Macaca mulatta: one gene and its partners. The protein of the gene in region 5 interacts with the protein of the main gene of each other region in a pairwise test. Links are inferred from orthologs where the notes say so. Each region holds a gene or a part of one and is shown on either strand. Other genes may lie near its edges. The genes, in order: FAM133A, CARD9, SNAI1, GEM, TRIM23, GPANK1 and KLHL42.

What was found.
Region 1: the proteins of TRIM23 (region 5) and FAM133A interact in binary tests that used the Homo sapiens proteins (3 or more experiments, as listed by UniProt). The two-hybrid records come from large-scale screens. The link is inferred for Macaca mulatta from reciprocal best matches to the Homo sapiens genes TRIM23 and FAM133A.
Region 2: the proteins of TRIM23 (region 5) and CARD9 interact in binary tests that used the Homo sapiens proteins (3 or more experiments, as listed by UniProt). The two-hybrid records come from large-scale screens. The link is inferred for Macaca mulatta from reciprocal best matches to the Homo sapiens genes TRIM23 and CARD9.
Region 3: the proteins of TRIM23 (region 5) and SNAI1 interact in binary tests that used the Homo sapiens proteins (3 or more experiments, as listed by UniProt). The two-hybrid records come from large-scale screens. The link is inferred for Macaca mulatta from reciprocal best matches to the Homo sapiens genes TRIM23 and SNAI1.
Region 4: the proteins of TRIM23 (region 5) and GEM interact in binary tests that used the Homo sapiens proteins (3 or more experiments, as listed by UniProt). The two-hybrid records come from large-scale screens. The link is inferred for Macaca mulatta from reciprocal best matches to the Homo sapiens genes TRIM23 and GEM.
Region 6: the proteins of TRIM23 (region 5) and GPANK1 interact in binary tests that used the Homo sapiens proteins (3 or more experiments, as listed by UniProt). The link is inferred for Macaca mulatta from reciprocal best matches to the Homo sapiens genes TRIM23 and GPANK1.
Region 7: the proteins of TRIM23 (region 5) and KLHL42 interact in binary tests that used the Homo sapiens proteins (3 or more experiments, as listed by UniProt). The two-hybrid records come from large-scale screens. The link is inferred for Macaca mulatta from reciprocal best matches to the Homo sapiens genes TRIM23 and KLHL42.

What each region holds. Positions count from the first base shown.
Region 1 is NC_133426.1:99,944,481-99,948,589, reverse strand, and holds the start of FAM133A (protein FAM133A), read right to left. Parts: upstream 2,801-4,109; 5' UTR 2,697-2,800; intron 2,290-2,696; 5' UTR 2,217-2,289; intron 1-2,216. Other genes in the region: NAP1L3 (nucleosome assembly protein 1-like 3), read left to right, coding at 3,664-4,109.
Region 2 is NC_133420.1:6,136,361-6,140,506, reverse strand, and holds the start of CARD9 (caspase recruitment domain-containing protein 9), read right to left. Parts: upstream 2,801-4,146; 5' UTR 2,728-2,800; coding exon 2,317-2,727; intron 1,805-2,316; exon of another isoform or gene 1,723-1,804; intron 1,151-1,722; exon of another isoform or gene 1,003-1,150; coding exon of another isoform or gene 850-1,002; coding exon 651-849; intron 214-650; coding exon 76-213; intron 1-75. UniProt on the Homo sapiens protein: Adapter protein that plays a key role in innate immune response against fungi by forming signaling complexes downstream of C-type lectin receptors.
Region 3 is NC_133415.1:102,827,301-102,831,233, reverse strand, and holds the end of SNAI1 (zinc finger protein SNAI1), read right to left. Parts: intron 1,533-3,933; coding exon 1,348-1,532; 3' UTR 501-1,347; downstream 1-500. UniProt on the Homo sapiens protein: Involved in induction of the epithelial to mesenchymal transition (EMT), formation and maintenance of embryonic mesoderm, growth arrest, survival and cell migration.
Region 4 is NC_133413.1:104,656,929-104,661,183, forward strand, and holds the start of GEM (GTP-binding protein GEM), read right to left. Parts: upstream 2,801-4,255; 5' UTR 2,648-2,800; exon of another isoform or gene 2,559-2,647; intron 1,438-2,558; exon of another isoform or gene 1,265-1,437; intron 948-1,264; 5' UTR 939-947; coding exon 548-938; intron 1-547. UniProt on the Homo sapiens protein: Could be a regulatory protein, possibly participating in receptor-mediated signal transduction at the plasma membrane. Has guanine nucleotide-binding activity but undetectable intrinsic GTPase activity.
Region 5 is NC_133411.1:73,711,484-73,715,443, reverse strand, and holds the start of TRIM23 (E3 ubiquitin-protein ligase TRIM23), read left to right. Parts: upstream 1-1,160; 5' UTR 1,161-1,193; coding exon 1,194-1,274; intron 1,275-3,960. Other genes in the region: TRAPPC13 (trafficking protein particle complex subunit 13), read right to left, coding at 372-417.
Region 6 is NC_133409.1:150,654,814-150,658,789, forward strand, and holds the start of GPANK1 (G patch domain and ankyrin repeat-containing protein 1), read left to right. Parts: upstream 1-1,176; 5' UTR 1,177-1,205; exon of another isoform or gene 1,206-1,494; intron 1,495-2,074; 5' UTR 2,075-2,240; intron 2,241-2,504; exon of another isoform or gene 2,505-2,507; 5' UTR 2,508-2,606; coding exon 2,607-3,232; intron 3,233-3,976. Other genes in the region: CSNK2B (casein kinase II subunit beta), read right to left, coding at 192-263.
Region 7 is NC_133416.1:30,134,240-30,138,399, reverse strand, and holds the start of KLHL42 (kelch-like protein 42), read right to left. Parts: upstream 2,801-4,160; 5' UTR 2,761-2,800; coding exon 1,889-2,760; intron 1-1,888. UniProt on the Homo sapiens protein: Substrate-specific adapter of a BCR (BTB-CUL3-RBX1) E3 ubiquitin-protein ligase complex required for mitotic progression and cytokinesis. The BCR(KLHL42) E3 ubiquitin ligase complex mediates the ubiquitination and subsequent degradation of KATNA1.

The DNA of each region.
Region 1 (4,109 bases), on a different chromosome or scaffold from region 5:
TTAGATACCTACTACATAAAATTAAATAAACTAATCAACCAAAAAAAAGCTACAAAAATAAAAGTGTGTTACAAGATACTTATGGATACACAATTAAAGTAGAGAATTGTGATTAGAAAAAATCATCTACTTTCAACATTTTCATTGCCTATATCTAGGAAAAAATAATTCCAAATTGAAAATCACAATTGTTGATTAATACATTATTTTTATATGATGCTTTTGTAAGCTTTTTTCTATTTTTCATCTCCATGTTCCATTCCAAACTTTTCCAGGATCAGTGTGAGTGGTTAAGTAGTTATCCGTAATCCTTGAAAAGCATCCAAAAAAACCCCCAAGCATCCCCCCAAAAAAAAAACCCAACCAATTTTAATATGAAATTTAGTCACATTTGCCCAATATCATGCATTATTTCCTGAAGAAATCATAGTTGTCTTAAGTAAGTCAAGGCCAAAATCATTTTACCTTTAGGATTTCACCATTGATTAACTTCTTGCTTAATTCAGTAGAAAACAAAAAATATGAATAGACAGTTCTCAAATAAACATAAACATATGAAAACACAATCTTACCACTAATCTAAGAAATACAAATACTAATATTGATAAATTAATTTGGAGATGTTGATTACAAATGTAAATGTAAGTAGTGATTACTTCTCAGTTTTATTTTGAGTTACTTTTAATTTCTTCTTTGTATTTCAATGTATTGTCTGACTTTATCAATGAACACATATCATTTTCACAAAATGTAAAGTTATCTTAACACCGACTCATTAGTTGTTTGCAACTAATGGATCAGAAAAGAATTTAGAAACAGACCCAAGCAATTTATTTAATGTGATCAAAGTAGCATTTCAAGTAAGCAGGAGATAGAAAGATTACCAAATAAATGGTACTAGAAGAATTAGCTAGCTAATAAAAATAAGTATTTTAAAAATCTGGATCCCTACCTCATGACTCACTCTAAAATACTAATTCCTGATGCTACAAAGTTTAAAACATAAGAGCATACTTTTTGTAAAATCTCCATAATTTAAAAAGAAATAGTGAGTCTCAGAACAATATTTATGGTATAACACCATTGATGTAAATCATTGTTTCTATAACATATGCTTTGATTAAAATTATTCAGCGAAAGGATATGCACTTAGTAAGTTTCATTCACCATTATACTACAATTCTCTACCACATTTGCCCAGCATACGACAGGCACAAAAATATATTAGCTGAATGACAAAAAAAATGAACCTTTATGCACTGTTGGAACTGTAAATTGTGATAATCATTCTGCAGAGAGTTTGGCAATATGTATACAATAATAATTCCATAATATGAAATGATCATTCCCAGGCCATTCATTTCTAGGAATTTATCTTATGACCAATTTTCAGAAGTGCATAGAAATATATGCTTTAGGTATCCAGGGACACTTTTATTATAGCAGGAAAATAATATGTATATAAGGGGAGAGATGGTATAGAAATAGCCACCCTATAAGAGGAATCTGTTCAAATAAATTAAGGCAATTATTTCCATGGAATATGCACTTATTTAAAAATAAGATGTTGATCATTTGCCATGAAAATATAGCCATTAGTAACTGATAAATTAAATGAAAAGACTACAAAACATAATATGGTATCACATAGATAAAGCAGTATACATAAATAGGCAGGTATGTATATGCACAAGGAAATTTCTAGAAGGAAGTGCATCAAAATGCTAGTAATTCTTATCATTTGGTGGTTAAGATTGTGTGTTTTTACTACTGTTGGAATTTTCTGTATTGAGGTTTTATCTTTGCAATGTTCACAGACTTTGACAATTAGAGATATACAATAAAAGTAAATGCATTTATGAGACAGAAAAGCATTTCATAACTTTTAAAAACGTGACTACATGACAAAGCACAAATTCTATAAAGATTAATCTAACTTTAATACAGTTCCTCATTTGAAATGAATAATTTATCATATTTCATATTTTAATTTACAACTTGTATTCTATGACCAGGTTAAGATAGTTAATGTGGTTAAGTAGGCTATTGTCTACATTAGTATGCCAAATTACCTCTGTGGATTTTCCTGTTTCCATAGAATTATCAAGATTATTATCTAAAATAAATCTCTAAATGACTGCATCCTGTAAACTTTTATTCAGATGGAGATGAGTAATTTTTGTCATTCTTTAAAATGTGCTAAATATGATCCTTACCTTTCAATGAAAAGTAAATACTCGTCTTTTTTATTGTACCAAGGTAGTTGTTCTGTAGCAGAAAAAAAAAATCCTGTAAATAAAAATAACAAATACCCGTTTTTAAACTTCATTTTGCAAAAGTTTATTCACATATTACTGGACTTGTAAATCATACTATAGTATGGCTAGAATTTTACAACATTAGAAGGAAATTGGTGGCAGATGACATCGCATACACTGACAGAAGATGCACATTCATTAGCACAAATTCCCCCTCCCATCCCACTGTTCTTGGAATTGAAACCTGCTGCACAAAAGTATAACGCAAATCATTTGCTTTTTAACAATACTACCTAACATTTAATACACTCATTGTTTTATCTACAAGGTTGTTGCAAGCATTGAGAAGGGCTACGTGGCAAGTTAGCAGCAAGGTTGGGGTATATAATATGCCAGCCTAAAAAGAGAAATATAATAAAAATGGTGTAACTGACTCACGGCAACATGGGTTCGCAAACCTTGTAGATGGATATAAACCAGGCTTGCCAAACATCACAGACAGCACTTATTAAATCAGCTTCGTGGAATGCAATACGCCTGCTGTCTAGTCCCTCCCCCCTCTGCCAATAACCGACTCTCCCCTTTTTTATCCAGTGTAAAAATACTGCTCATAGAATATTTAGAGAAAATCGTTTTGTTTTTAAATCGTCCACAGTCACACTACCCAATGACGCCATTTGGACCATTTTCATTCAATTTTTTTTTTTTTTTTCTTTTACAGATTTTTGTCAAGAGACCCGTGACAAACTAAACGGGAATTCAGGATGGGCGGATGGGAGAAGGAAGACACGCCTCTTCTGCCCTTGTTAGGAACTATGGCTGGTATTTTTACCTCATGTCTACGCTTTTTTTTCCTCTTTTAATTATAAAACTATAAATATAGACTTTTTGGGGGGCTCGGGGACACCTTCCAGGGGGTCGCACCTCAGCCGGCGAGCAGCGTCTGGGAAGGTGGGCGGAGCCAGGAGTAGTGGCGTTTGGCCGTTCGTTGGGCGTACGGTTTGTCAATTAAGGTGGACCAGCAAATGAGGAGCGAACTAAAGGCACACTGGGAACGAAATTAACGGGAGGTCTGACTGCGAGGGGAGGGGGCTCGCGATCTAAAACGAGAAGAGATCTCGGGGTCTCATACTGCGCCATTCGGCTGCGGTACATCTCGGCACTGTGTAGCTGCAGCCGGGAGAGGCCTTGCCGCCACCGCTGTCGCCCAGGCCTCCACTGCCGCTGCCACCTCAGCGCCGGCCTCTGCATCCCCAGCTCCAGCTCCGCTCTGCGCCGCTGCTGCCATCGCCGCTGCCACCTCCGCAGCCCGGGCCTCCGCCGCCGCCACTCAAGCATCCGTGAGTCATTTTCTGCCCATCTCTGGTCGCGCGGTCTCCGCGGTAGAGTTTTTCAGGCTTGCAAGATGGCAGAAGCAGATTTTAAAATGGTCTCGGAACCCGTCGCCCATGGGGTTGCCGAAGAGGAGATGGCTAGCTCGACTAGTGATTCTGGGGAAGAATCTGACAGCAGTAGCTCTAGCAGCAGCACTAGTGGCAGCAGCAGCGGCAGCAGCAGTAGTGGCAGCAGCAGCAGCAGCAGCGGCAGCGGCAGCAGCAGCAGCAGCGGCAGCACTAGCAGCCGCAGCCGCTTATATAGAAAGAAGAGGGTACCTGAGCCTTCCAGCAGGGCGCGGCGGGCCCCCTTGGGAACAAATTTCGTGGATAGGCTGCCTCAGGCAGTTAGAAATCGTGTGCAAGCGCTTAGAAACATTCAAGAAGAATGTGACAAGGTAGACACCCTGTTCTTAAAAGCAATTCATGATCTTGAAAGAAAATATGCTGAACTCAACAAGCCTCTATATGATAGGCG
Region 2 (4,146 bases), on a different chromosome or scaffold from region 5:
GCTCCTAGGGATGGGGGCTGGGCAGAGGACCCAGCACCACTGCCCGCCCCCACCACCGCCTTCCCCGTCACTCACCGATGATCATGGAGAAGACACGGGCCGGCTCCTTGCCCGTGACCTTCTTGTACAGCTGTGGGTAATAGAGTTCCAGGCTCTCGAGGAAGGCCACGTAGCCCTTGTGGCCGGTCCGCTGCAGGATGTCCAAGAGCACGCCTGCGGGCCAGAGGGGCCTAACTGGGGGCGGGGCACAGGCGAGGCAGAGGGCTGGGGTGGGTGGGCCCGGGGGCAGGGACAGGTGGAGGCTGGGATGCAGATGAGGTGTGCTGTGGTTTGGGTCGTGGATGAGGCACCCTGTGGGTCTTGGTACTAGGCTGGGGACAAAGTGCTGTCCACCCATCCCTTGGCTGTCTCAGGAGCCCCCGCTGTGGTGGGAGTCCCACTGCCCCTCTTGGCAGCACCGAGCTGGCAGGAGAGGCTGGGGGATAGGGTGGCCATGTGCCAGGGTTGAGGTTGGGCCTCACTGGGAGGCCAGGGGCAAAGCCAGGCGGGGCTCTCCTGGGGTCGAGGGTCAGGGTGGCAGAGCGTGCAGCCACCTCCAAGCGGGCTCCTTGGTTGGGTTTGGGACCTGGGGCCTGCGGGGCAGCACTGACCCACTTTCCGTTTGCGGATGACCAAGTTGGGGTCACTGAGCACCTGCTCCTCATCGTCGGGGTTCAGGACCTTGCACTGCCGCAGGTAGGGCGTGATGCGCGAGGGGTCGATGACCGACGTGAGCATCACCCGGAAGCCCTCCAGGACGCTCCAGCACTCATCATCGTTCTCGTAGTCCGACATGGCCTCGCAGGCAGGCTGGGGGGTGTGGGGCAGCCGCTGAGAGTGACGCCGGCTCCTGCCCCCACCCAGGCCCGGCTCCCGCTCCTTCTCAGACGCTGGGCCAGGGCTCTCGTCAGGGCTGTCGAGGGGGTCAGCCCAGGGGCATCCAGGAGAGGTACCCAGCTCCATGTCCCATCCCCATGCTGGATCCCCCAGGGAGGCGGCAGAGACACAGTGACCCGCTCCCCGCCAGACCAGCCGAGGGCCCCTCCACAGCCTTTCCCAGCCCCTGCTCCTGCCCCTTGGCCATCCGTGTCACCCAGATATGCAGCGGGGGAGACACAGATGGGGTCTGAGAGAGGAACTGCCTCCACGGCATGACTCGCCTCTGGCCTCCGCCTCCTGGACACTCCCACCACGCCCTGGAGCCTACAGGGGCAGCCACCTCCATGGGTGGAGGAGCTGTGGGCACCTGCCTGGCACTACGGCCAGCCCAAGCTGGGTGAGAGCAGGTTGGCCAATGACCCTCCCACTAGGGCAGCAGCTGGGGGAGCCGGTTCTGGCGGAACTTCCCCATTTCCCTGACCGACGCCTGCTCACATCCCGCGCTGTGCCCTCCCTCCTCCATGGCCGGCTGTTGATGATGCAAGAGTGGCCACCCAGCCCTGCCCCAGCTGCCAGGGTCGCTGCACTGGCCGGGAAGAGCTGCCCACAGGAGCGTGCCTCTGTCACTCCCCGCCGGCCCCGCAAGCTGGGAGGGGCTGTCGGTGTTGCCCTTGGCTGGCCAGGAGTGCTGCTGTGCTGTTTTCTCCAGGTTCTTAGGTGACGGGCACCCGTCAATCTCTGGACTCTTCTCCTGCCCCCGATGAGGCCCGACCCCCATCCCACTGGCTGAAACAAGAGAACTACCCATGTTGGGACCAGCCCAGCCACTGCTGTCCCTTTCTGCCAGCACGGTGGAAGCCTCAGCCGCTGAAAGCCACTCCCTCTGGGACTGGGGCAAGGCTGGGAACAGCCACATGGTCCTGCCTCCCACGCAGGTCCCCGGTCCTCAGCCTCCAGCCCCACTGGGAAATGCTGGTTTCCTGCCTAAAGGAGCTGGGTCACTACTCCTGGAGACACTTGGTCTTTTGAAGTGTTTGGTCTTGGTCTTTTGAAGAATTTCTCAACTTCCCACTGTACTTTGTCACCCCATTCAGGACAGTTTTGACAGACAAGGGGCTGAATAGAAACACCGGCCACACAGCGGACAGTCCTGGGAACACTGGGCCCCTTTCCTGCCTCCCCAGCCTGAAATGCAGGGTCCCACCTGCCACCGTAATGCCACTGAAATGAACATGTCTCCGCCCAGTGGCCATGAAAGGGATGGGGCAGCGCGGCGGAGGCTGCCTGGCTGCCTGTGGGAAGCCTCATGCTGCTCTGCGGGGATCAGCGCCAGGATTCTGAACGAAGCCGGCGCCGACCTTCTTGGTCACTTTTCAGAAAAGTACCAGACCCACCCACCTGAGGGTCTTCCAAGGAGCCACCTGCACGGCAGACGCACCAGGAGCCTGGGACGCGGAGCCTCGGGGAGATGCTGCCTGGGGCTGCAGGGAGGGAGGAGCGTGCCGGACGCCTGTGCACTTCCTGATGGCTTAACTCCACAGTCCCGCCAGTCCTCCCACAGGGGGACAGTCCCTGGTGGCCTGCCTTCTGATTCGTGCAGCCCAGGAGGCCCCGAGAGGCAGACGGAAGTGGAAGTCCTCTGCCCTCCACAGGAAAACTGCTCTCAGCCCTCCCAGCCTGGCCGGGGGCCAGGGGTCCTGAGAATGCCCCAGAGGCCCAGCCCGGGCACCTGGCAAGTAGAAGAGACAGCAGAGACCCCCAGGAGGCTGGACGAGGCCAGACCGCACCCAGCCGCTTTGACCTGGTCATAGGTTTCTGGAGGCTTCTTCAGGAGGGCATGCTCTGCCCTGTGCGGACACCCTTGCCCTCGCCGGCATCTCAGGACAGCGGGGCAGGGCATGTGCAGGGGGCACACAGCCACACAGCATGCCCAGCACACGCCTTGGTCATGAAAGGGCTGCAGCCCACCTTATGGAGCCCAGGAGGCCACTGCAGCCTGCCAGGGGCCATGGCACCGGCCACCACCCAGCTGCACACGGGGGAGAAGCGTCCCTTTCAGAAGTGTCGCTCGGTATCATTATCCTTGTCACGAGGCATCCTTGCTCTTCTCCAGGATGCACGTGAGGACTGAGGCCACTCCCAGGGTCCCCCAAACCAGCTTCAGAAGCACCGGTGATGGCAGGGCACAGCCCGCCCCCCATCCACAGACAACGGGCAGCAGGGTCTGCCCTGAACTATGCACTTCAGCGTGGGGCTGCTGGAGCCTCATCCCTGCAGGCTGGGGAGCCCCCAGGCCCCGCCTCACCGGTAAAGCTGGTCGAACCGAGTTGCCACCCAACAGCTTCGAGAAGGGGGCTGCCAGGCTGGAAGGCCAGGAAGCTGGTGCGGAGCTCGCCTAACCGTTCCCAGCCCCCGGCCCTCAGGCCTGACATCACGCAGTGAGGAGTGGAGTTAGGGGTCCTCTGGGGCTCTTGGGAATGCCACACTCCAGGCTGGGCCCCTCACCAGCAGCATGAGCGAGTGTGCAGGCAGGAACGCCGTCCTGGGCCCTGCTGGGGAGTGGGCCCGAGCTGGCACCAGGCCCTCATGACCCAGTGATTCCCCAGCTTGTAAAACGAGGGACCCCAGTGATTTCCCTGTGGTGTCCGTCCTTAGGAATTAACACACATACCATGTTCTCTAACCATGTCGGAAGCTAAAAATCAGTAACAGGTATCTGGAAAATCCCTAAATATTTGGAAATTAAATAATATACCACTAAATAACCCACAGGTCAGAGTGGCCACCAGGAGACTAGGCACCAGTTGCTAGAGAACCAGGCACAGCAACACATGCTCAGGAGCGCGGCCGGCCATGGGACCGTCCTGTCTGCCGGGTGCCGAGGGCTGAGGCCCCACGGTGCTTCCAGTGAGGGAGTGAAACCCAGAGAGCAAAGGGCCTGGGGGCGCTGCTGCCACAGAGACGAAGGAAAGGGAGTGAGGGGACAGACGGAGAAGATGGGGGCTGGTCTTATGCCAAGAAAGGCCCACGCAAAAGGACAGTGAAAGTTGTGGGGGCTGCCATCGTGTCTGGGTAGCCAGGTCACCTGTTCCAGGGAACCCCCTGGGTCAGCTGGGGCGGTGCGAGGGCTGGCAGCCATCTGGGGAGGGTGCCGGCTCAGCATGAAGAACAAAGCCACAGGTGCTTTCCATGAAATGGGCGAAAGCCTGCTTCTCTGCTGGGAGGGCA
Region 3 (3,933 bases), on a different chromosome or scaffold from region 5:
CTGGCTCCAGCCAGCCAATTTCCTTGCATCAAAGGCCATTTGGTACCCAGCAGCAAGACGGAGGTGTGGGACTGACAAGGAGGCCCGAGGGGGCCGGGAGCCCTTGGAAACAGGAAGGACATCCTCTGTCTCCTTGGTCGCATTCCACTCGCATGTGGGGGAAGCGGCCCCAAAAGACCTGCAGTGCTGGGGCAGCTTTGCAGCCTGCCTAGTTGATAAGACCCAGGAAGCCAGCTCTGTACCCCATGCGCCAAATCGGTTTCAAAATTCAAGAATGAGAAAGTAAACAAGAGCCACAGTGTATAGTGAAGAGCTCATATGGATGCTGCTGGCTCACCCAAACACCAGCAGACAGAACACCCAGGACTCCAAAGCCCTGTGACGTTTCCAAGGACAAGATTTAAGGCTGTGTCAGAAATATCTAAGCTTCAGGAATTCCTGTCTCCTCCTCCCCTACCAAAGACCTTTTAAAATACCCACTCCTCTATTACACCAGACTCTTTTCAATATATAAATTAACTGCTTTATTGAATATCAATAAACTGTACATATAACTATACAAAACGTTTCCTTGATACAAAATGTTTGAAATATAAATACCAGTGTACCTTTAAAAATGTAAACATCTTCCTCCCAGGCCCACCTGTCAGGCCCCCAAAATAGTTCTGGGAGACACATCGGTCAGACCAGAGCACCCCACTTGGGCCCCCGACAAGTGACAGCCATTACTCACAGTCCCTTTTGAGACACTGTTAAATTGCCCGGGAAACAGGTGCCACCCCACCAAACAGGAGGCTGAAATAGCTGCCCGGGCTTGGGGCATCTCAGACTCTAGTCTGCCACCGCCTCCGCAGGGCCCGGGGCTGCACCTGGGGGTGGATTATTGCATAGTTAGTCACACCTCGTGGAGGGTGGCCTGAGGGTTCCTTGTAGGGGGGTGTGTGTGAGGGGAGTGGGGTCCCCTGAGTGGGGTGGGAGCTTCCCAGTGAGTCTGTCGGCCTTTGTCCCGTAGCTCAAAGCAGCTGTATCCAAACAGCTCTGGATACAAAAACCCATGCAGAAAGGCCAGCTCAGGAATCCCCTGGGGGCTGGGACTGCCAGCTGCCCTCCCTCCACAGAAAAGGCCACGGGAAGGCCTCCTCCAGAGCCCACTGAGGGACCCAGGCAGAGGAAACAGAACCAGAAAATGGTCTTCAAGGTCCTGTGGGGCTGATGCAGCCAGAAGTGGGGCACTCAGAAGGGAATTCCATGGCAGTGAGAAGGACGTGGGGTCGGTCCTTCCTGCTGGATTGGGGGAAGGCTGTCGGGCAGGGGGCAGGTATGGAGAGGAAGAGGGAGCCTCAAGGGTCAGCGGGGACATCCTGAGCAGCCAGACTCTTGGTGCTTGTGGAGCAGGGACATTCGGGAGAAGGTCCGAGCACACGCCTGGCATTGGTACTTCTTGACATCCGAGTGGGTCTGGAGGTGGGCCCGCAGGTTGGAGCGGTCAGCGAAGGCGCGACTGCAGTGGGGACAGGAGAAGGGCTTCTCGCCTGGGGAGAGAATGCCAGAAAGGCCGAATGAGCCGTGGGACAACAGCTGGCAGTGATGGGAATCCCTCCCCGCATACCCTAAACCCCGAAAGAATCCCACGATCCCAGGAAAGTCAGGACTCAAACACGCAGCCAGAGTCCAAAGGCTGGGACCTGACGGAGCTCTGCTGCTTCCCACTGTGCAACTCTGGGCAAGTTGTCTGGCTTCTCTGAGCCTCCATTTTTCCACCTGTAAAATCGGGCTATCCATCCCCCACTCATAGGGGTTGGTAAGTGACAGAAGGTAGGGCACAGTACTCATCCACATCCCGCAGAGATGTGCGAAGTGGTCAACGACGACCGAACATCTTTACTGATTCGTCCTACTGTCACTTATCGGGGCCAAAGCCAGAGTCAGCCTTAAGAGGCCTCCCCACCCCCACCTCCAAGCTGGTTAGGCCACTCCTGGGGCTGGGCCAGCAGCCTGCTTTCCTCACTACCCCACCTCTGGTGCTGTAATCCCAAATCTCCTTGTCTGTTCTCCAATCAGGCTGAGTCCCATAAGGGCAGGGGCCTTCTTTGAGTCCATTCTAAGCCCCAGCCCAGGGCCTGGGCCCCTTTCTAACACCGAAGAGGCTATAGAAACCTGTGCCTCTGACACACCATCTGCCTGGCCAAGGCTGTGTCGGAAAAAGTCTTGCATATGGAGCTGGGTACCCAGTAAGTCCTCAATAAGCCCTTAGAGAATAATTAAGTCTGCTTTAAAAATTAAAAAGGCCTCAGAGGAGTCTGCCCCTCACTCATGCCTTGTAATAATCCCTGCTCCAACCAAAAGGCTACAGTTCCAAAAACACCAATAATGCTGTTTGTTTTTTTCTGGGGGATGCAGCATTTTCCACATAAAAGGTCATAACAATAACTCATTAAACAAAAATCTATTGAAGCCGGGTGTGGTGGCTCACGCCAGTAATCCCATCACTCTGGGAGGCCGAGTGAGGCAGGAGGACTGCTTGAAGCCAGGAGTTTGAGACAAGCCTAGGCAATAAAGCCAGACCCTGTCTATAATTTTTTTTTTAAATCTATTGATCTCCTACTATGTGCTAGACACTACTCTATAATACTGAATAGTCTCTTTAAAAAATATGCAATTCTCCAATCCCCTCACGCCCAGCCTGACATGCCCGCGAGGCCAGGGCCTGTCTGTGAAATCCCAGCGCTGGATGGAATTTAAGAGCTGAGAGTGAATTCATTCCATCACCTCCTGGGTGCCTAGGGTGCTACACTGAGCTACCAGGGTAGGAGAGAGTCCAGAGAATGATTCCAATGGGACCCATGCATTCCATAGGGACTTATGGAGCACCTGAGAGCTGGACTCACTCTCATGGGGCAGAAATGGAAACTCGACACTCCAAAGGGTGGGGGACACAGAGGACTGGGGGAGGGGTGCCTGAGCACTACTCCACTCTGCCATTACTCAGCAGCCTCCCCACGCCAGGCCTGAAGCGTTTGCTGATTGCATTCTAAGTCTTCATGTGAATGAGAAGGGTAAGTTCACCCTTGTGAACTAAGGGCTGACTCTAGAGATCTGGAAAAGGGGCTGGAGTCCATTTGTAAGACTGGAGTTACGATGGCACCCCCCTTCCCTTCCCAGGGCTGTTGGTGAAGTCCCGAGCACTACCTCCTGCACAGTAAGTGCTCTAAGTGTGATGAGACACAAACCCGAACAAAAGGGGAAGGAGACATTCTAGGACATGATGGGCTGGGGGCGGGGGCTGCACGCATATGCAGGAGGCACTGACCCCCACTCCTCAGATCCCTCGCCCCCCAGACGCCTTCATGGTACTCCTGGCAAGTGTGAAATCGGCACCAGGCCGGTGGGGACAAAGGGCGCCGAGGGGGGCACTGTACATGCGATACCCCCGGATTAAAGGGGCCTGCCACGCAGTGCGCCAGCAGCTGCGACTGGAACAGGTGCTGGGCACCCCTGCCCCATGCACCTGCTCCACCCCTCCCAGCCCCCACCCACTGGGCCCACCATTAAGGCACACAATGGGAGTCAATGAGGACCGAAATGATACATTTCAAGGGGATTTCTGTGCCTCAGCCATGCCTTTACATTAAAATAATGTCCGGATGGGAGGCGAGAGAGGCAGGCAGGAGAGCAGCATCCTGAGGGGTTCAAATCTCCCTGTGAGCTGGGCAGGCACGGGGAGCCCAGCAGTTGGACCTTTACATGTTAAAATCAGGGCTACTGGTGCAGGAAGGAAAAGAAATGGGTAGCCTTAGTCGAATAAGATGCCAATAAAGCCCGCGAAATGCCAGTCCTCCCAGATACCTCACTGACCCTCACTGCTCAGAGGTCAGGCGCCGGGCCAGGAATGGTAGAACCTGGCCAGCTTGAACCCTGTGGAATCTTCTCCCT
Region 4 (4,255 bases), on a different chromosome or scaffold from region 5:
CAGGTTCCAATCAATAAATAGATGAAATAAAATTGTACAGGGAAAATTGTCTTGAAAAGCTGTCAGACTCTATACAAAGTATCATTGTTATACTTCACATTTTAAAAAATTATTATACTATTTCAAATACAGATTTTGAACTATTTTACACCCACAAAAGTTTCTAATATTGGTAGAAGCAAACTGATCAAGCCATCCTAACAGCTTTTCCAACTGGCTTGTTTTAGGTATAACCATGGAAAAAGGCTGTGCCTATACTGAATTCCGGGAAGAATGTTCAAGTCAGAGTCAGCAGAAGTCAGAGGTGGGGCGCTGACCCTCTGGCTATGACCAATCTAATCAGCCTTCCCCCACCCATTTAGAATTGAAATCTGAAAAATTCCCTTTCTGGCCCAGGTTCAATAGATTTTGGTCCTGTCTACAAGCTTTTTCATTTTATTGCCCTGAGAGCCTGTGCTTGGGCTTTTCTGGAGACTCAGCTCCCCCATCAATTGTCCAAAATGCATAAACCTTAGCTCCCAACTCTGCAGGTAAATAAGCCACCCACCTTCGCTCTTTCTTCCTGGGCCACGCCTGATGGAAAGAAGCCCACTGGGGCTGGGACACCTACCTCCCAGCACCTCGCAGTCGCTGTCCATGCTGTCATGCACACCTGCAAAGATGTTGGCCAGAGTGGACTTGCCCACCCCCTGCTCCCCTATGAGCACCACTCGGTAGTAGGTGTTCCCTGACTCAGAGGAGATGACTGAGTCTGTGGAGTCAGAGGACCAGCTTCGGCGGCAGTGGTCCTCAGGGGCAGCAGAATGGCGGTTTCGGTGGCTATACTGGTGGGGCTCTTTCTGGACCATCAGATGCCTGCCATCGGCTGGGATGCTCCAGCGCTGCTGCTGCGGCTGCATGCCCACAGTGCCCTGGCGCATGGTGACATTCAGAGTCATCGTTGGGTCCTGGGGAGCAAAGCAGCCAAGATGGCAGCATTAGTAAGCATGAGTGAGAGCTCTGCTCAAATACATGGTCAGTCATCAGTAATATTATATTAGATGAGATGAGAAGCAAGTATCCCTAACATAAAAAACACCAATTAAACAGTCTCCAAAGCCCAACAAGACAGGCTTTCAACTGGACACACACACACACACACACACACACACACACACACACACACACACACTGCTCACACTGTCAGTAACCAGCTCCTCAGGCAGACTGTCATTTGCATGGAAAAAATAATACTGTTAACATCAACCACTGCCCATGGGCTTACCCCTTCCTCAAAGCAGACCTGGATCAAAGAAGAGCTGCACTCGGAGCTGGCACAAAGGCAGCTGGAAAGAACCAGCAGCCTCCAGAGATGACTTAAAAAGCAACAAGTTAATGTTGCTGGGGACCAACTGGTCAGGTTAGCTGCTCTTGTCTAAACTTGGCTCTTAATTGCACCAGTGTCCAGCAGGTTTTGTGCCTCAGTGGGAAACACGTGGCAATGACATCACCCCCACCCCTCCCCACCGCAACCCTGGCTGGACTGGACAGGCACTTATTGGAACTTCCATGTTTAGTAAAGTTGCTTTGATGCTCTCCAGCTGCCTGGAGAGCATCCACCTGCCATTATTGGGGGTAGAGGGGAAATTTTCTGCTTAAAGTTTATGCCTCAGCTGTGCCCTCTTATCCACAGATGCCACTTTTAAAGCATCTCAGCTCCAAACCTAGACACCCTGGCAGAGAAATGATCTGCTCATGTTCAGACCTAGCAAATTTGCACAGAAAGTGCCTCATTCTTAACAAACCACGTCCATTCTCAAGAGTTCTTTAATTCAACTCAGATTCCTTTCTTGAGACAGAGTCTTGCTCTGTCACCCAGGCTGGAGTGTAGTGGCAGGATCACAGCTCACTGTAGCCTCCAACTCCACTTCAGCCTCCCAAGGAGCTGGGACTACAGACCTGCACCACCACGCCCACTAGTTTTTTTATTTTTATTTTTATTTTTTGGTAGAGACGGTGGTCTCACAATGTTGCCCAGGCTGGTCTCCAACTCCTGGGGTCAAGTGATCCTCCTGCCTCGGCTTCCCAAAGTGCTGAGACCACAGGCCTGAGCCACCATTCTCAGCCCCCCTTCTTGAAGCAAATCAGAAGGCTGAAGACTACCCTAAATGATATTCAACAACTTCGCTACAACTTTCCCTTTGCAGACTGCCTCCCCTAGCCGGAAGGTCTGTTTTTCGGGCTACTGGCGACGAAGTGTAAGTAGGCACATTGCAATCAGCAAGATGCACAAACAGTGCTTTCCCACCCTCACCCCCACACTCCATACCCCAACACCTCGCCACTAACCAGGACCACCAGCTGGTTTTTTAGTCTCAAAAGCAGCACCTCAGTTGGCAGACTTACATTCAAACAACAAATACATAAAGCATCATTAAGGGCTGCCCTCTCTGACCACTCGATCTGTAGGAGGAGGTGACTGTCCTACCGAATTGAACTAAGGAACCTGCTGATGAGAAGCGACATCCTTTGCACTTGAAGCTCTGACCCCCACCAGAAAATCCCAGCACAGAACGCACGTTTCAGGGGTTCTTTTCTCAACTTCGAAAGTTCTGCGGGCTGGGAAACTCCCACTCTCTCCCTTCTCCGTCCCGGGCCGCCCCCTTACTTGGCTCGGCCGGATCGGCGTCGGGGCGTCAGCGTATCGCGTGGGTCTGCGCTGGGATACCCGGGCCAAGGAGCGGGTAGTGCTGCGCTGTGCCCGCCGTCCGTGCCCGCCGCCTACAGCCGCCGCGGCCGGGCGGTTTATAACTAGCCCAGCCGACCCGCCGCGGGGCTTTTCCGTGACGTCAGCGCCCCCGCCGGGAGGGGGCGGCTCTGCAGCAAACTCGGAGTTGCAGCCACTTGGCTAAATCGGTTACTCGCAGTCACATGACCCCTTCTCTCTCCATTTAAAAAATAATGACAGTTCAATCCTGGGCCTCCTTTATTTTGTTTTATTTTCTTTTTTACCAGGTGAACACAGGAAAATGGAAAAATACTCTAAGTGCCACTTAATCGTCCTTCCCAGCAAAACACTTGCAAGCTAGCGGGATAAAGGATGGAGGGAGAAGCAGGTTTGAGTTGAGAGCTCAGCTTTGCCAAGAAAACAGGGATCAACCTGGAATGCGCAGAGACTTTAGCCTCCAGGATGAGACTGCAGCCACCTTGAATGGCCAAGGCTTGTTTTAACCGCATCTTCTGCAAGGAAGACAGCCTCTGTCACCTTCTCTCTGGATAGGGGGAAGCAGATGGAGCCCCACAAAGCTTTGTTTCCCTTCTCTGGCAAGGACCCAGAGAGAAGGGGCCAGAAAGAGGTGAGGAAAGAGGACAAGACCTTGAAAAGGGCAGTTTGGGAAAACAATTTAATTGAGGATCCAAGCAGATTGTGCTAAATGTTGTTGGCCCTGCTGCTCTGGGCCAGAATGCTGAGGCTCCTCAATCAGGGAATTTAATCAGCATCTCAATCACCAGCATCTCTGTACCAGGCTCCCTGGCAAGGCTACACCTTGGGCATGAGCCAATACAGCCTGGCCATGGGGAGGAGCACTGAGCCCACGGCCCCTATGAGAGACTCCTGTGAACAAAGGGCACAGGATAATAACTACTACTACCATTTACTATGTACCTCTGAGGACCTCTGCTTAGTAGGTACTGTTAGGCCTCCTGGGACCTTAATCCTTACTACACTCCTGCAAGGTGACTCAATTGCTACCCTCATTGTATGGAGGAGGAAGATGACATAGGGCCAGACAACTTGCCCAAGGTCATACTGCTGGTATAAGTGGCAGGGTCAGGACTCAAAGCCTGGTTTGCCTGAGTCTCTGCACTGCACCACTAAGTGAAGGATTTCAATGACCTCTTTCCGGGGACATGGGTATTTCCCAGATGCTGTGTTTAGAGATGATGCTGGCCTCTCCAACATACTCGTCCGCTTTTTCAGCCAGCTTCATCTCTGGGTTGGCTGGTGGCTCCGGGAAGCAGCCAAAGGCACCAGCATCTATTGAAGCAGTGGACTCTGCTGTGATTAGAGTCGATTCACAGTTATCCTGCAGGCATTTATCTGCTTTGGAAATTAGCTACATGACCAGCTGCTGAGACCTGCTAGGTCCCAAGCTAGCAAAGGTGGAATACACAGAGTAATGAAAACTTAGAATTCCTTTAGTCTCAGGTTTGTGGCCCCAATCTCCTACTTATCTTATACATAAGAAACCTGAGACCTAGAGAGATGATGACC
Region 5 (3,960 bases):
TCGTCAGTGCCACAGGAAGAAACGAGAGACAGAAGGAAAAAGCACTTTACATGCCCGCTGTAATTCATCTTAGTTCACAGAGATCTCCACGGTAGGAGCGGGACGTCAGCTTCTGCCGCTAAAATCTCGTGACTGAAGCAGCATAGATCAGAAAGAGTGATTTACCAGGTATCTATTTCATTCTAGAAAGGAGCCCGTAAACCTAAAAAGCATCCAGGCGAAATCGCTTCCTCCCGCCTGGCGCCAAAGGACAGAGCAGGAGGGCGAGCACTGACGGTGTTTAAGAAGGCTGAGGCCTACATGGCAAAGGCTTCGATAAATAGGGAAGGGAAGAAAACAGAAAACGGGTACTCAGGTTCGCAAAAGTTTACCTTTCAGCGCCAGCAGGTGCTCCTGTTTAGGGGGATTCACTTCCATTTTGACCAGCACTTTTGACCCACGGCCTACGGGGGCTGGACAGGTTCAACTTGGCCCGGAAGGAAACGGAAAACCTCGCGTTTGGCAAGACCAGAAGTCAAACGCACTTTCAACTTCTCTCCGGTGGTGGTACCTTAAATTTTCTTACTGTGTTCTTTACAGACTGGCTTCTTCTCACCAAGTCCATTTCTTTTATCTTAGAAACGTATGCATAAAACACTTTGTTTTCCATCTGCTATCGCACATCGCGACTTCAGGAAAAGAAACCACCCCTCGGTTACAATACGCCGCCTCCCAAAGGCCAACTTTGCCGGAGTTTAAAAAAAATAAATAAATAAAAGAGAGAGTGGCATGCTGGGATTTGTAGTTTATACGAAAATCGCGTTGCATGCAGGGAGATGCCCGTATCCCTTCACCGCCCTCAGTTTACACCCTGGTTGGTTTGCGATTCGAGAGGAAAAATCATTAAAGGAGCTGGAGTTTCACCCCAAAACTTTAATTCTGTTTTATCCCTTCTTTTTTTTTTTTTCCCTTGTCTTTCCTCCAGCAGTTGCAGACTACGTAATGAAAAATAACAAAAGTGCCCATGAGCGAGGCTGTGCAACGAAGTACCCCACGACTGCAGGGAGGAGTAGTAAGAGTCGGCTAAGCGGCGCCCTGTGTCCTACTGCGCCTGTGCGCCGGTAGCGTGCGCAGAGGCCTCTGGGTAGGTGGCTTAACCCCGCCTCTCAGTTGAGGACTCTGAAGGCTGCATCTGTGGCGCTACTCCTACGAGGATGGCTACTCTGGTTGTAAACAAGCTTGGAGCGGGAGTAGACAGTGGCCGGCAGGGCAGCCGGGGGACAGCTGTAGTGAAGGTGAGGGACCTTGCGTGCTCTGTTCTCCACCATTGGCCTCCCTTCGGTTCATCCTGGAGACCTGGCTGCATCGCCACGGCCCAGGCTTCGATGGGTGGGATGCGCGGCCTCTGGGCCCCTTTTGGCTTTACAAGTCTTGTCCTCTCCTCTGCATCCTTTCTCTCCTATGGCCTGAAGTTGCCTGGTCTTCTGCTCATGACATGTCATAATCGGAACATTTATGAAAAGGAGCTTGCGGTCCAGTGACCTAGACCGGTCTTTTCTCCAGGTCCTCTGCTTTTAGTTAAACTCAACAGGCATTAGTTAGCTTAGTATTATAAATTGGCCCATCGTCATCGTAACTACGTACTACGTTAGGTGTTTTAGCTCGTTAATATCTACTTATGAAGTAGATGTTAATTCCCATTTTACAGGGAGGAAATCCAGGTTTAGGTAAACACAGTGTGTGGCAGAGCCCCGGGTTGACCGGCTTTAAAGCCTATGCTTTTCCCTATTGTACTGCGTCTGTAATGAGACATCTGTTACTGGCTGAGCTGCCCTCTCTCCTGTTAGTAGTACAGTCTATTAACACTTTTCAGAAGTCTGCAACATCGTCATAGCTGGGCGTTAACGATAGAGTTAATGAATTTCCTTATGCTTGAAGTTTGAGATTCTACCATGTATAAATGCTCCAGAATGAATTTGCTAAAAAATCATTTGAAATATGTGGCAGTCATTTTTCCCTTCCACACTTGTGCACGGAGAGATCTGGAGGGGAGAACTGATCTCATTGGTTTTATAGAGTAACCTTCGGGAGCATCTCTAATCTAAGAGATTGAAAATTCTCATTCCTGGCTACATATTAGGATCACTGAAGATTTTTAGTACACTACTGATGCACTCCTCCTCCAGTTCTGATGAGGTTGACAACAACAGTAGATTTTAGGAATGCCCATAAGTTATTTTAATATGTAACCAGGGTTAAGAATTACCGAACAGGATAATATATGAAGTTCTTTTAACGTCTTGAAAAATAGACACCTACGATTATTCAGTTAATGTTGGTTTTGTATGACAGCAAGTGAGACATTTCTTCCCACAATTTAGTATCAGTCAGTATTGGTGGTCGTTGATTCAGATGACCTTTAGGTAGTAATGAAGTTATTCTACAGGTGCACAGCATATCTGATAACGCAAAAGAGCCCTCGTTATTAGGCATGTTGTGTGATTGAGATTTTATTTATTGAATTGTGCTTTTGCTAAGTAGAGAATACTTGCAGAGTACTTTGTGAATTAACTTGAAGTTTAAGTTTTATTTCATAATTGGAAGGGGTATCATTGCAGTATCTATTTTGTTGTTACGCTGTTTGCCTTATAGTCTCAAAAGTGTACCAAAGCCTGATGTAACTCCAGTTTGTTACAGCACAGAATTTGATACATCAGAGGCTCACCTTGTTCATTTTCATCTTAACATGTAAAATGTTCCTGAACTGTGCAATAAAATAGTCCTTTCTGACAAAATCTTCATGCCATAATTTGTAGTAGCTATAGGGGTATAAACTGAAAAAAACCTTACTGTCATTTGTATAGATGAAAGCAATAAGTATTTATTGGAAGGTAAAAATTGAAGTATATAATGCTAATACTGTGTAAAATGGCCTTGTGCTTGTGAACAAGTTGATAATTACATGGTTTTTATCATTAGAGAAACCAGTAACATAAAAATCTGATATGGCTAGGCGCGGTGGCACACGTTTGTAAAGCACAAAGTGCCTGGGAAGCACTTTGGGAGGCCGAAGTGGGCTGATCACTTGAGGTCAGGAGTTTGAGACTAGCCTGGCCAGCATGGCCAAACCCTGTCTCTACTAATAATACAAAAAGTAGCCAGGCATTGTGGTGTGGGCCTGTTAATCCCAGTTACTCAGGAGGCTGATCAGGAGAATCACTTGAACCCAGGAGGGGGAGGTTGCAGTGAGCCGAGATTGTGCTACTACATTCCAGCCTGGGTGACAGAGTGAGACTCCATCTGAAAAATAAAAAATAAAAAATCTGATATTTTGAAATAACTGACATGTAAAAATGTATCACAGTTTGTTTTGCTTAGTGAGTCTTCTTAGGCCTTTTAAAATTTAGTCTGAGGCTGGGCACAGTGGCTCACACCTTTAATCTCAGCACTTTGGGAGGCTAAGGTGGGAGGATTGCTTGAGCCCTGGAGTTTGAGACCAGCCTCGGCAACATAGTGAGACCCAACCTCTACAAATAATAATTAAAAAAATTAGCCAGGCATGGTGGCACATGCCTGTGGTACCAGCTACTTGGGAGTCTGAGGCAGGAGGATTGCTTGAGCTCGGGAGGTCGAGGCTGCAGTGAACCATGCTCAGGCCACTACATTCCAGCCTGGCTGACCCTTTTTTTTTTGAGAAAGAGTGAGACCCTTTCTCAAAAAAAAGAAAAAAAAAAAAATATATATATATATATAAAATCTGATTGATTACAGTTTGATTTACATGTAATAAGTTTGAAGCTGTTTTGGCATTTTGTGAAATGTAAAATTAAGAGCTTTTTCCTATCTAGGGCTTTTTGCTGTTAACCACAATTCCTATTCATAGATACTGAGGAAATATTTTCTTGCTGGATTATTTACCAAGTTGATGCAAAATAGTCTAGTAACTTTATTTTCGGACCTGTGTTTGGTTTGCTAATCAAT
Region 6 (3,976 bases), on a different chromosome or scaffold from region 5:
GCAGAGTCAAAACTTGGGCCCCAGTTTTGCCACTTTAGCACAGGTTCGTCGGGGGTTATTGAGGGGACTCTTCGTTGATGGGAAGTTTTCAAGTAGTATGTAAGAGAACAGTGTAGAAGTGGAATACGTGAAGGAACATCTGGTGGGAAGATATGTGAAGCCAGCAAGTAGGGAGGTCGAAGAGAACTCACTTCACAGAAGAATTCATTGCCACGGAGCCCACAGAACCAGGAAATCCAGGACACCTCCTCTGAGCTGCTCATCTTCACGTCAGCTGAAAAAAAGAGTGTCAGTAAAGCTCAAGTTCTCCTTCCCTGCCTCGGGTATCCTCCCTCCTCCCACATTAGAACCACCCTTTCTTAAAGGATCCCAAACTCTGAAGCACTCCTCTCCAACTCCTCCAATTTACATCTCAGTTCCCTTTTCTTTGACGTTAAACATTCTTTGGGGTCCCACCACTTGAAAGAAGCCAACAGATACTTTGACCCACCAGCCCGACCCACGTCCCTGGAGCTCCCGAAAGCCAGGGCCCTCTCTTCTCTGTGTCAACTCCGGCAGGGACCTCGACTCAGGCTCCGTACCAATGCAAGTCTCTGCACGACCCCGGCGCCTTTCCCAAGGATTTCAAAGTTTATCACTCTCAAGCAAGAATCGGGCCCCTCCTTTTCTCAAGGGTTGGGGGCGACTGTCAGGTCCCTTTCACCGGATTCCACACATCCCCCCTCCGCTCCTCAAGCCACCTCTCCCTCCTTGCCGGACCTGGTTGCTTCCTCCCCCCGCCCCCATATCAAAGTGCGGAGACCCATGTGCGGCTCCCAGCGACAAGCGACTAGGAGCAGCGAAGACCTCAGACTCACCAGCTGGACGGGGACCAGGACTGGGGTGGGGTAGGGAAGTTGCTACTTCGAAGGAACGGCGGCGACCGCTACAGCGCAGGCCGCGGACCCGACCGCGGCAGGCGAAGTGGGGTGGGGGGAGTGGAAATTGGGGAGGGTGGGGAAGAGGGCAACACGCAAGCGCCAAGGGTCAGGTGCCGCGGTGGATGCCGGGACGCGGAGTCCCCGGTAGAGAGAGAAACCGGCTAAGTGAGGGAAAGCGAACTACCAATCCCAGGATGACCCGCGCACGACCTGGCTGTCACGAATCCCCGGAGGAGGACGCTTGCGGGCGGGGCGCAACGAGAAGCCACCGGAAGCGGAAACCAGGTATGGCGTTCGGGGCCTGGGAGCCTGGGCAATACAGTTGTGTGCTCACTGGGCGAAGAAGCTGACTTAGGGCGGGGAAAGGAGGGAGCCAGGCTGGACCCCTCCTCGCAGCTCTCCTCACAGTTGCCCTCTAGTCCCGGCGCGGTGCTGCTTCCCTGGGGACTGGCCTATCCTTGGCCAATGCGCTGGGTCCTTATTGCCTGTTGGGCCCCTAGTGCGAGTCAGTCCCGCCAGAGACCCTTGACGGGCCTTCTGTTTTACTCCGGGCTCCGGCCTCATGAGGCGAGAGGTGCGGCTTGGCTCCGTGCGTAGGGACTTGGGTTGGGAGGGCTGGGCTGGGCTGGGCTGTGTGAGAACCAGAACGGCCCAGTGCGCTAACCTGAGGTGGTGCCAGCCATTCTGCTCGTCCCCTTGCACTTCTCCATTTCCCCTTAGTCTCTAAGTGTGACCTTCGAACCCTGGTCAGAGTAATGGTGAGGGGCAGGCGTGACGTTATTTCATTACACGGCTTCTCGGCATTCCACAGGTTTCCCTCCGCCTCCTGAGGGCCTTTCCTAACCCAGAGAGTGGATTCCTAGCTCCAGAAAATGGGCTTGGAGCGGGGGCCACGTAGAGGAAGGCGAAGGGCATTGTGGGGGCGTTATGTAAAAGTAGGACCCCAACCGACAGATCCTAGCGCTCGCGCCACCTGGGCGCGCGGAGCTTTGCTCGTTTACTATTGGAAAAGTTCCAGCGCGGGAAACTGAACCGGGAGCTTTGCGCACGCCTGAGCCATCAAGTAATGTGGGTGGTGGTTTTTGTTGTTGTTGTCGCCACGCATGCGTCTCCGTGCCGTGTGGCTATTTGATTGTGTCAACTCTGCTGATCAGAATAGCGCCATTTTGCGGTACGGAAGCTACACGGCAACACGTATAGGAGCCTCTCCCCGAGATCTTCTAGGGAGTGACCCGTCTATTTTTGTTTGGGAAGAGGAAACTCCGAAATGGGATCACGGAAGACTTAAAGGGCCAGGTTTGATTTTTTTTTTTCCTACTGGTATGTCTGTTTTACGGGGTGAGAAAGTGATTTCAGAAAGAGGCTGGTATTTATTGTTGGTAAGGATGGGGGTGGGGGCCGGACGCAGGACCTCTGGACGACTGTCTCATGGAGTTTGATTAATTTTTACTAAGGAGCAAAGTCGGTATTGTAGGGTTTCGTGTTTTTACGCATATACTCTCTCCCTTAGACCCTGCAGAGTCTTAAGTTGTGGGGTCACTTTAGCGGCAGGAAAGTGTTTTTGACTACTTTTTCTCATCCCAGCAGGTCCCTGAGGCTCTGGTTGCTACAGAGTCACCAGGAGCTTGGCTTGCTTGTCGCATCCTTCCCTTGCCTGGTATCATTTTCTCAGTTCTCCCAAAAGCCATGTCCCAGCCCTTCCTCATCACCTTCACCCCAGCCACTGACCCCAGCGACCTCTGGAAGGATGGGCAGCAGCAGCCACAGCCCGAGGAGCCAGAGTCCACCCTGGATGGAGCTGCAGCCCGAGCTTTCTATGAGGCCCTTATTGGGGATGAGAGCTGCGTTCCTGACTCCCAAAGATCTCAGACTGAACCTGCCAGAGAAAGAAAGAGAAAGAAAAGAAGAATCATGGGGGCAGCTGCAGCAGAAGCAGTGGCAGAAGGAGTATCAGGAAGATATGGACAAGGGAGATCCCTTGAGGCTGAGGATAAGATGACTCACCGGATACTGAGGGCAGCCCAGGAGGGGGACCTGGCAGAACTTAGGAGACTGCTGGAGCCCCATGAGGCAGGAGGAGCTGGGGGGAATATCAATGCTCGGGATGCCTTCTGGTGGACCCCACTGATGTGCGCTGCTCGAGCGGGCCAGGGGGCAGCTGTGAGCTATCTCCTGGGCCGTGGGGCTGCCTGGGTGGGGGTCTGTGAGCTGGGTGGCAGGGATGCGGCTCAGCTCGCTGAAGAAGCTGGCTTTCCTGAGGTGGCCCGCATGGTCAGGGAAAGCCATGGAGAGACAAGGAGCCCAGAGAACCGGTGAGGGGAAACTTTAGCTCAGACCCCTGTCTCATTGTGTTCTGCCTCTCCCAGCCACTCCACACCAGAGGCCCCAGCACAGTGCTGAGTTCTTTCCTTATCCTCATGTGTAGGTTGACAAGGTAGTATAGTCAAGTGGTTATGAATATGAGCTACCTGGATTTAAAGCCTGATTTCACTTACTTGGGCAAACAACCTAATGTCTACATGTTCCAGTTTTCTCATCTTAGAAATGGGGTAGTAAGGATTGTTGTTAGGATTCAATGGGTTAATATATGTAAAATGCTAGAATAGTGCATGCTGCATAGTATGCAATATATGAATGTTAGCTGTAGTCATTATCACTAGTATCCCTCCCCTTGCCCAAGAGTTTGCTAGGCCTGGTTACAATTTTTTCTTTTCAACTCTTCTGCTCTGGGTCCCACAATGGTTTAAATAAATTTGTTTTTAAGACCAGTAGTGAGAAGGAGGGGAAAAGTAGAGTAAGGAGTTTGATCTGTAACTGAGTGAACAGTCATTTCAGATAACACCACCACCTTTGGACCAGCCTGGATTCCCTCATTATTAAGTAGGAAGGAAGTCAATTTGTCCCTTTTTTTTTTTCCCCAGACAAGGTTTTACTCTGTCACCAGGCTGGTGCGCAGTGGCGTGATTTCAGCTCACTGCAACTTCCACTTCCCGGGCTCAAGCATATTTTTTGTAGAAAGCAGGTTTTGCTGGCATGGTGGCATGTGCCTGTAATCC
Region 7 (4,160 bases), on a different chromosome or scaffold from region 5:
GTAAACAGTAAGCTATTTAGTAGTTAAGTTTTTGGGAGAGTCAAAAGTTATATGGGGATTTTTGACTGTGCAGGGGTCGGTGTCCCTAGCCCCCACATTACTTAAGGGTTAAGTGTATTTATATAAGTATACATGTAATTTACAAATATAAATGTTTATACATTTATAATATCTAAAGGTAACAAAAGTCTGTCGATACACTGACACTTTTTTTCTGTACCCTGAGGGCAGACATTTCCTCTTCTTACTCTGTATTTTTGTGTAATTTGCAGTTTTTCTAAGAAGCATGCATTCATGCATTACTTGAATGCTTTTTTTTTTTTTCAGGGGATGAAAAGGGCCTTCCTAGAAAAAAGACAAAGACTACCAAGGATGTATGAAGGGAAGAAAGAACTGTGAGGAACTGCGGTACTAAGGATGGCCTGGTGAGCGTCAAATGATGTGTAGCTGGAGGCATGCAAGAGGAGACAGAGAACTCAGGGCCGCCCACCCCTAATCAGACCACCACCCATAGCCACACAATGTTTCTTTGTTGTTTCAATTACAGCGCATAGAATGTTTTAAAATAACACTTCTGATACCAAATTTTAAATATGGTATCATCTCAATGGTGCAAATAATGCATTAAAAATGGGCTGGCAGGAAATATGCCAACCTGCAGTTACTGCCTCTAGGAAGAACGAGTGGTAATAATCATCTTTTTGCTTCTTCATTCTTTTCCATTTTCTAGTTTTCTGTAACCATGTATTATCAGGGAAAAAAGCATACTTTTCAAAATGAATTCCATATTATAGGAGAAATAAAGCCAGTTATTTCCCCAAATAATCCCTGGCCAAGGAGGACCCTCGAGTCAAATAGATAGATATATAAAGGATTCTCTGTTACTGTTAAGACTTCCTTCGCCTAGCTGTGAGTTCCCCAATTCCTTGCTCCACACTTCAGGACCAGGACCCTGTGAGGATTGAGATGGAAACACGTGGATGGGAAGAAAGGGTATTTTCATTCTTTCTTGAGTTACATTGATTCTCTTCCCTGCTTCTGAATGACTCTGAGGCCTCCTCGGCGCTACCGTCTTTATTTCCTACCATCTCTTCCTGTATATGCTCTTTGCTCTTGTTTTCATATTCCTTCCCTGGTTCGTTTCCCTTCTCCCCTCTCATCCCACTCCTCAAGCTCCTCCTCTTCCTTTCTTCAAGTCACCCATATTGGAGGCAGGAGGGATTTGCAGGATGGGAGGGGGAGAAGGTTGGGTAAATGAAAATATTCCAATTCTATAGTTGAACACTTCCAGGCTCAAGCTTTGGGTCATGACGATGGCTGTCCAGGGAAGGAAGCAAAAGAGAAGATAAAAAATAAGAAAAGCAACCCCTATTGCAAATGTTAATACATTTCCAGTGATTATCTCTTGGTCATGATGGGTGTCACAGTGTGAAAGACTCTCTGTTGTCACAGTCACTGACAACAGAAAAAAATCCCCCAAAGTCAGTGTCACAGGTTACTGTCCAGTGTGTCATTACCATCAGGATCGAATCCTAAAAACTAAGAAAAATTTTTTTAAAAATTAAGGAGCAATTTTCTTTTAAAGTATTCTTATAGGAAATCACGACATCTTTTTTCACAAGAACAGAGACAAAGAAAGCAGATTCACCTAAAGGCACAATACCTGCCAAAAAACCACTCCACTACTTGACCTCACTGGGGAGTTCCTCTTCGCAATTTCTTAGTTCACTGGGAACTTTGCCAGCACCAAGGCCAACAACATTCCTGAAGATGTCATTTCCACCTCAGCACACCCTCCCCTATTTACTGGCTCAGTAAACACCGGGCCCATGAACTAATGAACAAGTGAATGAATGAGAAGGCAGCAGCACTCTGCCGGGGTGCTTACCTCTTCTGGTTCATGGAGGCCACCTGGAGCCACTCGTTGGTGCTGGGGTTGTAGGAATGCGCAGCAGAGATCTCCTGGCTAGTGATCCTGTACCCGCCCACTATGAAGAGGTAGTTGTCCAGGATGGCAGACCCATAGCCCCTGACATTGACCAGGTCGGGAGGAAGGTTGTTGGCCAGCGGGAACCAACGCTCAGTCATCTCTTCGTACCTGAGCATGGACGGGGGCTCCCCCTGGTAGGGGTGAGGGGCCAGGGGTCCCCCCAGGAAGTCCCCGAGGGCCACGAGGACAGGAGTCCCAGTCATCCGGGCCTCCCTCAGCCTCTGCTTCAGGCTGACATCCCCCGGAGCTTGGGGAGGAGACCCCAGGAGGTGGAACTGGGGCTTGCACAGCACCTCGTGGAAGTGGACGACCATGAAGCGCAGGCAGGCCTCCTGCAGGTCGGGCAGCCCGTACACCTGCGCCAGGCGGTACATCTCCAGGCAGTTGTTGAGCCGCACCTGGGACAGCAGCAGCTGCAGCAGAGACGTGACCTGCAGGAAGGAGGCCGCCTCCACCAGCTCGGACAGCAGGCTCACCTCATCCATCTCCTCATCCTCGTCCACCCCGCCGCCCTTCTCCCCGCGCGGGCCCAGGAGCCAGCCTTCGCGGGCCCCGCCGGCGTTGATGAAGTCCAGCACCAGCCTCAGGCCCGGCGCGCTGAGGCCGCGCAGCTGCTGCACCTCCGGGCCGCCGGCCTCCTGGCTCAGGGCCTCGCGCATGCCGGAGCGGTAGAGGGCGCGGAAGTAGTCGCTTTGCTCGATGAGCTTCCTCTTGCTCACCGGGTAGCAGCGATCCTCCAGGCGGATCTGCACCATCTCCTCGGCCGACATGGCTGGGGGCCCCGGGGCGGCGGCGCTCACCGCCAGATCTGCGCGCCGGCCTCCCCGCCCCCACGCGCGCGCCGGTTCCGGGCGGGGCGCCGAGGGATGGCGGCCCGGGAGGAGCGGCGAGGTGAGGGCCGCCCGCGCTCGCCCGGCCTCTCCAGCGGCCCCTCCTCCCGGGGCCCGCTCCCGCGAGGCGGCGGCTCTGCCCTTCTCCTTTTCCTCAGCGCCAAAAAAGGGCCGGCGGAGCGCGCCGGGCGTCCTCGCGCGGGCTCTCCCAGGCGGCGCCAGGCGGGAAGGGAATCCCAGCCCCCAGCCCGCAGCCTTCTCCCCGGCCGCCCTTCTCACTTCCGCCCGCGGGACCCCGGCCGCCGGCCTGACCTGCAGGCTGGATCCGGCCCTCGGGGAGGCCCGGGAGGCTGCGGGCCTGGGCGCCCCGGCTGCGGACGCGCAGCTGCGGGAGGCGGAGGGCGCGCGTCCCCGCAGCCTCTCGGCACGCCCGGGGCGCGCGGCTCCGCCGCCTGCCAGGGGCTGCAGCGATGCTCCGGGGTACCCCAGGGAGAAGAAATTAGTTTTCTCTCCCACGCTGCTTTACACGGGCTAAAGAAAAAGAAATGAACGTGGGAGGAAAGAGGAGGCAGTCTCTGGTCCAGGGAGACAAAAAGGCATCAAATCTAGGATCGTCCTTCTGGCCCAGTCCGGCATCGAGTGTCAGTGGGCTGAGGCAAGCAGGCAATCTGTGGACATGTTGGTGGCAATGTTGGTGGCACGTAGAGCTGATTCTCTGGTAGGGTCGTCGCGTAGGAGCCATCTTACAGGAGGTCCAGGCAGATGGCAGCAGGTTCTCAGAGGAATCGGGTTGGGAGGCAGGGGACCTTGCATTTGCCACTGGGGCCCGTTGTTCTCCCTAAGTTATTAAAAGAAAGATGAAAGCGCAGTTCGACTAAATAAAGTTACATCACGTGGCTTCTGGTTTTAAACCATGTTTTCTATGAGCCATTGCTTGTCTACTTCAGTCTGCTTGGACTAGCCATTACGGAATGTTATACTGTCGCAAAAGATCTGACAAAATCAGCTCATAGATGTCTGCAAGAGGTAGCTTTTCTTGTCACCCCGTTTCTCCACCTACCCTGCCCCCATCATCTGAGGACTATTAAGAGAGATCACACGTTCAGTTTGGCTGAGCGCGATGGCTCACGCCTGTAATCCCAGCACTGGGGGAGGCCAGGGTGGGTAGATCACGAGGTCAGGAGTTCGAGACCAGCCTGGCCAACATGGTGAAACCCCGTCTTTACTAAAAATACAAAAATTAGCCGGGTGTGGTGGCACGCGCCTGTAATCCCAGCTATTCCGGAGGCTGAGGCAGGAGAATTGCTGGAACCCAGGAGGCGGAGGTTGCAGGGAGCCGA